Linked DNA regions of Neurospora crassa OR74A. The protein of the gene in region 2 interacts with the protein of the main gene of each other region in a pairwise test. Links are inferred from orthologs where the notes say so. Each region holds a gene or a part of one and is shown on either strand. Other genes may lie near its edges.

Region 1 (4,095 bases), on a different chromosome or scaffold from region 2:
TGGCGACGGCTGCTGTGTCGGCCATGTTTGTTTATGCGGTGATGTCTGGTCTTGGTGGTGAAGAAGAAAAGAAAAGACCGAAGTCGGCGACCCGGACTGCGAATTCTCTGTTTCGCAAACTGAAAGTGTTAGAAACTCGGCATTGACTGTTGTACCTACAAGCACAGCACAGCGAGGCGACAAGAACTGAAGCCAGAGCTAGAATACTAGAGGAGAGTGCTGCTGCTGCTTGGGTTGTTTGACGGGATGACTGACCTGTGGAATTGAGTCAGATTCCGGAAATTTTGGGACGACAACGGCGGCAACGGAAGGGAACTCGCTCAGTCAGTCGCCTCCAGCAATCCAGATTCTTTGGTTTGGAGGGGCACGGCAACGGAACTGAACTGAAGCACTGTAACGCCCGGGCATTTCGCGGGGTCAGTGCAGTCCAGTCCCTCTCAGGCACCGCCCGACGGCAAGACGGCGGCATCTACTGACTCCAGTCCCTTGCCGCGACATCGCTTGGCGGACTGTGGCTTATGTACCGGGCTCTATCATTTTAGTCGGTGGCTAAGTAAGAGCTACGTACAGTAGTGTAGACCTAGTCAATCTGCTGAAGTTACTCACCAGCCACAAACTGACCTCTTATCTTATCGGGCAACCTCGAAATGGCCTTGGATCCATGCAGTGATCAACTCCATCATGAGCTCCATATGATCCATCTCACTCTGTCCCCAATGACCAGTCTCCCCTGTCACTAACGGGACTCCCCTCTGAACCCTATTGTTACGACTACTCGCGTACACGTATCGTCATTATCGTCACTTACAACAACGAACTCCTCACTTATTAACAGACAACGACAAACAATGTTCCGAACAGCCATCCGGCAAGCCGCCCAAAAGGCATCAACATCAACAGCCGCCAATTCCAGCGAGCTGCCACAAGCCTTTGTCAAGCTCCCCCACATCAGTCCCGCCCTTCTCACACAGTACCCGGCCAAGAAAACATGGCCGCCCGATTTCAAGACCATGAGCCCGCAGGAACAGCTCAAGTACGAGAAGCGGTACAAGAGGAAGATTCACCACATTGCGCAGAGGCCGAGATGGAACAAGATGGTGCAGTTGGCGCAGTTGGGGACTATTAGTTGTGGGTATTCCACTGGGTGTGATTTGATGACCTGATGTTGATGGTGATCTAGTTGTCCTCATTTACTGCCTCCTATTTGCGGACTGGAAGGACGAGAGGCAGCCTTTCTATGAGGTATGTTTGCCCACTTCACTTCTTGATGACCCATATGTGCCTAACTTCCATGCTCAGTTCCGACAGTGGTTCTGGAACTCCCTTGGCTTCGAATATGAAGCTCCCAAGCCCGTCGCGAGGATCCAGTCCCAGGAGTCGCAGGCTAGCGTCCAAGGCGGGTCCCGTCCTCGGCAGATGTAGTGTTGGACAGACAGGGCTGAGGCTTGGGATTGACAGGACCAAGCCGATTGTATCATGCTTTGTATAGTATCCTTTTGTGGGTGTTTGGCGTTGTAATACCTTGGGGAGGTGTGGGTATCTATGGTTTCTGCTCCTTGTTGGTATCATGCTTATGTGGCATCTTGTCGCCTTCTTTGAATGACGGTTACTCGAAGGCTGTATGAGCTTCGGTCCCGGATGGCAGCTTCCAGTCTCTTCACGCACAAAGCCACCCCCTAGGGACCCCGAACACCGGAGCGCATTAATGTAAAGACCATGCTGGCTCCTAGAACCTCATCGCCCACTCCAGACAAAATTCCCTCCCATTCCCAACCCAGCCCCCAGTCCACTCCCTAGCCCCATGCCGCCTCCCCTACTCTCGTTAACCGGCCTCTTGGCCACCGTCCCCTGCGCTCTCACGCCCTGCACAATCTTCTCCATATTTGTCTCAATCACCACTCCTCCCACAATCATCTCGCCCAGTGTTGCATGCAGTGTCTCAAAGTTGAAGATCAGATCCAACTCGCACACATTCTCAAACAACCTGTCCAGAGATTCGACATATACTTGAATCAGATCGATAAGAGCCAGTGGCGACTCGGTCGAGGTTGAGATGATGATGAAATAGAGGGTAGCATAGTTGCGGTAGGTTACAAGGGAGGGGACGTCGTTGTGTGGTTCGGACGAGGAGGTGGAGGTGCTGGAGGCGGCGAGGAGGGGCGGGAGGGGGAGGAAGTTGCAGGAGCCCTTTGGACGGTTGGCAACGAGGGTGAAGATCTCGGAGATGAGTCGTTGTTGGATTGATGTGTCCTACAAATGGGAAGAGAGGTGTCAGCAGTGGCTGTGATGAGGAAGGGTAGGCGATGGAAGTAGAAGGGGAACATACAAGTTGGGTGTAGAATTTGGTGAGGCGCGGTTGGCCTTGGCCGTTGAAGACGAGGAATGCGTTGATCATGGTGGGCGCGCGGTGTGACAGTTTGGGAACCTGGAAGTGGACGGTGTTGAAAAAAAGACGGCAACGACCAGCGCGCTTCAAAAACAGCGAGAGGGTGACTTGGTTGAAACTGAAGAAAAGAAAATAAATGAGAACCTCGTTGGACACTTTGTTGCACTTGGCGGCGGCAGTCGCACAGAGCCCAGCGCAGTGCCCTGGCTCTTTGGCTGCAGTTGCGGGAGGCAAAAGTGGATATTAATCTGGACTCGGCCGATCAAAGTGTGGTGGGGGTGCGATGACGTGCGCCCGCTAAATGCGCAGAGGCACGCGCCTAGCAGACGGCAGCAAACGGCGGGGAGCAAGCGTTAAGAGGGTACCTGCATCAATGCGAAGATTCTGCCGTACTTGCATGTCCCTTTGCATTGCCATATTAACTGACCCTCAGCTAGAGCTTTCCGCCGCTGCTAAGGCATGACCCCGTGCCTGCCAGCGCTCTGCTTTCAGTTCCGTCTGTTACATAAAGTGGAAGCCGGGGAACTGAACCATAGCGCGCCACCCGGGTTGTAGAAAACCATCTTGGGAAGAATTTTACAGTTATTTTTCATTTTGACCTGAAACTGATCCATGGATCAGTTCGACTAGAAATTCGTAGACTGTAAAAGTTTATCATTTTTGAAAAAGATAATTTTGGAATAAGATAAAAGTTTAATAAAAAAATTAATATATATTAATATTTATTTTCTTATAACAAGATTAGCTTCTCGAATACTTTATTTTAATATTAAAGTATATTTTAAAATGTAAAATGATTTTCCATTAATTAGGACTATTTTAATAGAATAAATTGATTTTGAACTTAAATTTACTTATTCAAAAAATATAATTATAATTTATATTATAAGTAAGAAGGTTAATACTAGATTTCTTTTTCCAAATAAATTTAAGTATATATAAGAGTATATCCAAAAATGTTGACTACAACAAGGAATCGAACACGGATCTAATAATGAAGAACTACTTCATTAACTACTTAGCCACTAAGCCAAATAGTTATTTCTGAAGAAAAAGTTTATTTTTTTCCAGTTATAAAGAGAGAGTTTAATATTAAGTATAGATAATAAGATATAACTTTAAGCCTTTATAAATAACTATATATACTAGGAAACTATAATTGTAAAATTTTAAAGGTTATTATAGAATATTAGTGTAAAATTACTATAAGAAAATATATTTGGAGAATTTTATATTAATATAAGAAGTACAAGTGTAAAATCTTACTCGAAGAAAGTATTTATTAAATTAACAATTTATTAAATAGGGAAATTAGTAAAATATAAAATAAAATAAGACCTATATTTATTATATTAATATAACTTTTGTCACAGGGTTAGCCTGTGTGCCTTGTGCCTGGTGCCAGCGTACAGTAGCTTCTAAGACTGCCGTACGCTGTTATTACCGCCGGCAAGCCGACTATTGCCGGCAGTTGATTGGTCAGAACGCTGCCTGCCGCGGGTCTATTAGATCCGCCGGCGGTTGCCTTCATAAGGCCAGCCTTCTAGGTACTCAATTATACTTCTCTTCCTTTCTCCTTCGTACAATTACACATAGTCACATCTACCATCTACCCTTTGCCCGTAATAATTAATTGCACCTTTTAACTATTATATTTATAGCACAAAAACCTCTCTTTCAACGTACAATTAATTTCCAATATTAGCGCA
Region 2 (4,598 bases):
GTTTTCGTTCTGCAGAATGTTGTGTATTGGGGTGGAAGTGCCTTGTGAGCGAGAGGGACTGCCTAGGTCGCCGATGTAGAAAGGGTCGTCACGGTTGCGCTCTGCTCGTTCGGCCTTGCGACGGGCGATGATGTCTGCGTCAAGGTAGCTATCCTCTGTCGCTTGCTGGTAGGAGCCCGATGTCGTCTCGGGAGCGTCCCGTAGTCTGTTTATTGCTGGCTCGCTGGAGATGCTGGTTGGTGCTGCCTTTTCGTTGTAGTAAGCTGAGAATTCGTCGTCTTCCTGGATGGGAAGCATCAATGAGTCCGCTTGCGCCAGCAGGCTGCTGAGGTTGGGATGAATAGGCTCGTCCAGGTCTAGGCCCTCTGGCATCGGAACATTCAGCTGAGCGCCAACTGCGACGGAGTTCAGCTCCCAACCCTGGAAGAGAGAGGGTATCGCCTGTGTGAGAAGGAGGGGCGGGTCTTGTTCGAGTTCGTCCGTTGATGACGCCTGTGCCGATGCTGCCTCGGCGGTGAGCTTCAAGAGCTCAGTAAACTCAACCGCGCGTTCCTGGACTTCAAGAGATGGATGAAGCACTAGGGGCTCGTATGTATGGATGACTCGCGCCATGAGCAGAGATACCATGGACTTTCGTTCTGCTGTCCAGTATGTTTGGTCGTTACCAGCAATCAGCGCGAACAGCTTCATGGAGGCCTGCAGGCAGGTTGCGAGAACCTCGGAGGGTCTGATACGCGGTATTAACTGTAACAGGTGATTGAGTGTGTCGCTTGGATTTGAGAGCAGATTTGCGTATTCTCCGGCGATCCAGGCAACAGGCTTCAGTGAACCTGATATCACTTGGTGTGACGTGGTCTCCATCGATAGCTTTGCAATAATAAGCTCGGCAGCCCGGACAGCGGCAGCTCTCACTGCTTTCACCTTAACGGCCACGTTTCTGAGCTCATTACCAATACTCTCCGAAATATCGGCCGTGGTAGATTTCGGCCCCAGTGCCATGCCGTCCGAGTCAAGCTCCTTACGAGACGCCGGAGCAATCCGGATAAGTTGTGTAAGTACGTCGATGTACCAGTCAAAGTCGACCACACTGGAGTAGTTGTTTTGCGAGCACATCTTGAGGATCCTGCCAATAACGTCAATCGTATAGTCTTCGGGGAGAGGAGGCGCCTCATCTCGTTTCCGGGACCGTCGTTCAGCGCCCATCTCTTCACTCGAGTCGGTTGACAGATCATCCAACTGATCATTGTTCGGGTTTGTGGACGTTTTCAGCTGCCTCATAAGCCGGCTGACAATGGATACCAGGTTATCGCTGCTGACCATCCCTTGTACCAGGTCTAGAGCCTTGATCCTGATGGTTATGTCTTCGCTGTCGATGCACTCCATGATCACGTCCTCTTGTTGGGCAACAAGGAACGGGTGCGTGACCACGATTCTGTTGAAGGCTAACAGAGCCACATATTTCACTGAGCGAATAACATGGTGAGAATTGTACAGACAAAGGCAAGCGGTAAAGGTACTCACAGTTGGCATCACCGTTGAAAGTAATCATGCCTCGAAGCTTTGAAACACACAGACTAGCAATCTCTTCCCTGCCATCATCTTCAGAGTCTCCAAGGATTCCTCCTTGTATGATGCCGTTGATACATTCGTATAACAGGGACATTGCTGGCGTTGTTCGGATCAGATCGGTCAGGGGCGGCAGAAGCTTGCGAACGAGACGCGGCTCTAGAGGGGTGAGGGTTGCAAACTGCGCAAGTTAGCAAAGACGCCGTCAAGTGGGAACTCCAGGTTTCCTCCTACCAGTTTGATCAACTTTATCGCCATCCAGTTGTTACCCCCATCTACCAAGAGCTCGAACAGGCGCGGAGCCAGGGGCAAGAAATCCTGGGGTCTCCGCCAGCCGAGTTCACACACCACGTTCACAATGGCTGCTGTCACGCTCGGATCCTCGTGCTTGTCCATAAGTCGCTCCTTAATTTTTGGCCATGCTGCTCGGAGGGTCTCTGGGTATACCAGGGCTAGTCTGTATAGTGTAACAATGGTCTTCTTCCTGATAGCCGAATGCGAGTGACTGAGACGCGGCAGTAGGTCTGCTAGTACAGAAAGGGCAAGGGAGGGCGTGATGATATGCGGCAGCGCAGCAATGGGGAGTGAGATGACGATCGGGGAGGAGGCCGAGAGGTCCTTCTTGAGGAGGTTGGTGGCTAGCATGAGCACTTCGGTATCGGTCTTGAAGCTCTGGACGGCGCCGAGATATCCAACGCGCTTCTGGTGGTATTTTGGCGAGGACATGACCTCGAGGACATGGAAGGAAGCCCACGACATGTCATGGCCGTTCATCTCGAGGTAGATGATCTTGAGGAGGGCCGTGGCCTTGACATCTTTGCGCATGTGTTAGCGAAAGCAACTGAACGGGCGCAACAACACAAGAGGGACGAACCCATGTCTTGGCTTTTGATCTCGGAACGACATTCTTTCAGACAGTTCTGGATGTACTCCTTTTCGTTTCCCTTGTGGTTACGCAGACCTCGGATGAGGTCGTACAGCGACTTTTCGAACCTAGGGGGCATCAGCTAAGTCGACTCGTGCAGACGGAAGCCGGAGCTTGACGCACATGGTTGCGGTTGTGGTGGCCCAACTGCCGATGTTCCCAGTGTTGTGAGGACTATATCGAAGTTGGGGAGGCCTGACGCTGGCGGCGCAAGGGTAGCAATCGGTTCGCGTAGAACTTCCACTTGGGTGACAGGAATCGAAAGTGTTTACAAGTCTAGTATAAGCTGGAGGTATAGCGAGGCGACGGGGACGAGGTGTTGCTGTGTCTGGACTGAACCGCAACTCGACGCATCTTGCCGCGGCCGTAGTTGGGGGAGCTGGGAGATGCTGTGGGCGCCACCCGGGTCGAGGGTTGTAAGTAAATGCGCTTCTCGTCGTCACGCCGTTGGGTTTACTTGTCGTCGTCGTCGTCGTCGGCGTCGTCGTCGAAACACGCTTGACGGATCTTGGTTTGGAAAGGCAATGGCCGTCAACGACGCTGCTGCTGGAGATCCGATGTCCGTGGTGGGTTCACAAATGTGGCACCCTCCCCGTCCTGGTCGTGCTATCTCACGTCACTGGCTGCCCTCTGAACTGACTGACCTCTCTCTGCCTGCCTGTGCTTTGAGGTGAGGATGCAGTGGTACAGTTTGCGACTGTCCCCTAAAACCCCAGATTGCACTGTCTGTCCAGCTGTTTTACCGCTGAAAGAGCAGCTATGACACAGTGAGAGCTCCAAACGAGAAGCTCCACATGCTTGCCCCACCTACCTCTACCCATCCATGGAGTGCCTGGGCGGGCATTCAGCTCCAGCTTGCAGTGCTCGCCGCGCGACGTCTACCAGCGTCCAGCATTGTACAGATTGACGCCAGAGAAGTGGAAGCTTCAGTTTCCCCGGCCATCAACTTCTCCTCTTCCATCATTTGACGACAGCTTCCAGACCACAAGCTAAAGCCGAGACTTCGATTGCCTCCATCATACTTGCGCCAATTGTCAATCAGCGGTTTACAAAGTCACGACATACTGGTGGTTCCTTTCAACCTTGACGAGCGACGTGATTCTTGGTCCGGTGCGAACCCCGACCACTATACGATTATCCAACTAAATCGAATATACACAATGGCGCCCTCCCTGCTCTTCAACCCGGCCAAGCTCCCTCCTTCGGAAGCTCTCCAACTCGCACAGCAAGCTCCCGTTGTCTTGCAAGGATCGTCATCAGAGACGGTGGACCAATGGGCAACATACGAGAATCTGCTGCTAGCGTGCCTCCGAACCGGCGATGATGAAGCGGCCGCAAAATGTATGGATCAGCTGGAGGCACGGTTTGGCCCCGACAATGAGAGAGTCATGGCTTTGAGGGGCTTGTTGTCCGAGGCCCAGGCCGAGAACAACGGAGAGCTGGAAGCGGTGCTCAAGCAGTACGATGCCATTCTGGAAGGAAACAGCACCAATCTCGTGGGTCCTGACCGTTTACGCCAACTGTTCTCGGACGGCAGATTTGCTAACCCGCCATGTCTACGTCTACAGCCTATCACAAAGCGCCGGATCGCCCTCCTACGATCCATGGGTCGCGTCTCGGATGCCGCAACGGCTCTTGTACAACTCCTCGACTTCTCCCCAACCGATGCCGAGGCCTGGTCTGAGCTGTCGGATCTCTACTTCACACAAGGGCTATACTCTCAGGCCATCTACGCCCTGGAAGAGGTCCTCCTTCTGTCGCCCAATGCCTGGAACGTATGCGCTCCTCCCTCACCCAACAGCCCAAGCCCTATGCTAATGTAGCCCATCTAGATACATGCACGACTGGGAGAGGTGCAGTACATGGCTGCCACGACTTCGGGAAGTGGCGGTGGATCGCAGCAAAAGTACTTGGCCGAGGCGCTCAAGCGGTTTGCTCGGAGCATTGAACTGTGCGACGACTATCTCCGTGGCTACTATGGGCTGAAGCTAGTAAGTTTCCGATAGCCGTCATGGGCGAACAAAATAATATGTGCTGACCGTCTGCCAGGTCACCACGAGGCTTCTCAAGGAACAGGCCAAACAGGCCAAGCAGACTGACGATGGCG

What was found.
Region 1: the proteins of NCU04652 (region 2) and NCU09461 interact in binary tests that used the Saccharomyces cerevisiae proteins (3 or more experiments, as listed by UniProt). The link is inferred for Neurospora crassa OR74A from reciprocal best matches to the Saccharomyces cerevisiae genes APL5 and APS3.

What each region holds. Positions count from the first base shown.
Region 1 is NC_026502.1:4,358,402-4,362,496, reverse strand, and holds NCU09461 (AP-3 complex subunit sigma), read right to left. Parts: upstream 2,613-4,095; 5' UTR 2,396-2,612; coding exon 2,327-2,395; intron 2,251-2,326; coding exon 1,735-2,250; 3' UTR 1,423-1,734; coding exon of another isoform or gene 1,300-1,422; 3' UTR 1,243-1,299; coding exon of another isoform or gene 1,181-1,242; 3' UTR 1,129-1,180; coding exon of another isoform or gene 849-1,128; 3' UTR 527-848; downstream 1-526. Other genes in the region: leu-6 (leucyl-tRNA synthetase), read right to left, coding at 1-25; NCU09462 (hypothetical protein), read left to right, coding at 849-1,128, 1,181-1,242, 1,300-1,422. UniProt on the Saccharomyces cerevisiae protein: Part of the AP-3 complex, an adaptor-related complex which is not clathrin-associated. The complex is associated with the Golgi region as well as more peripheral structures.
Region 2 is NC_026505.1:1,328,486-1,333,083, forward strand, and holds the start of NCU04652 (AP-3 complex subunit delta), read right to left. Parts: upstream 3,056-4,598; 5' UTR 2,617-3,055; coding exon 2,615-2,616; intron 2,560-2,614; coding exon 2,441-2,559; intron 2,382-2,440; coding exon 1,801-2,381; intron 1,748-1,800; coding exon 1,522-1,747; intron 1,464-1,521; coding exon 1-1,463. Other genes in the region: NCU04651 (tetratricopeptide repeat domain-containing protein), read left to right, coding at 3,652-3,987, 4,060-4,266, 4,324-4,482, 4,541-4,598. UniProt on the Saccharomyces cerevisiae protein: Part of the AP-3 complex, an adaptor-related complex which is not clathrin-associated. The complex is associated with the Golgi region as well as more peripheral structures.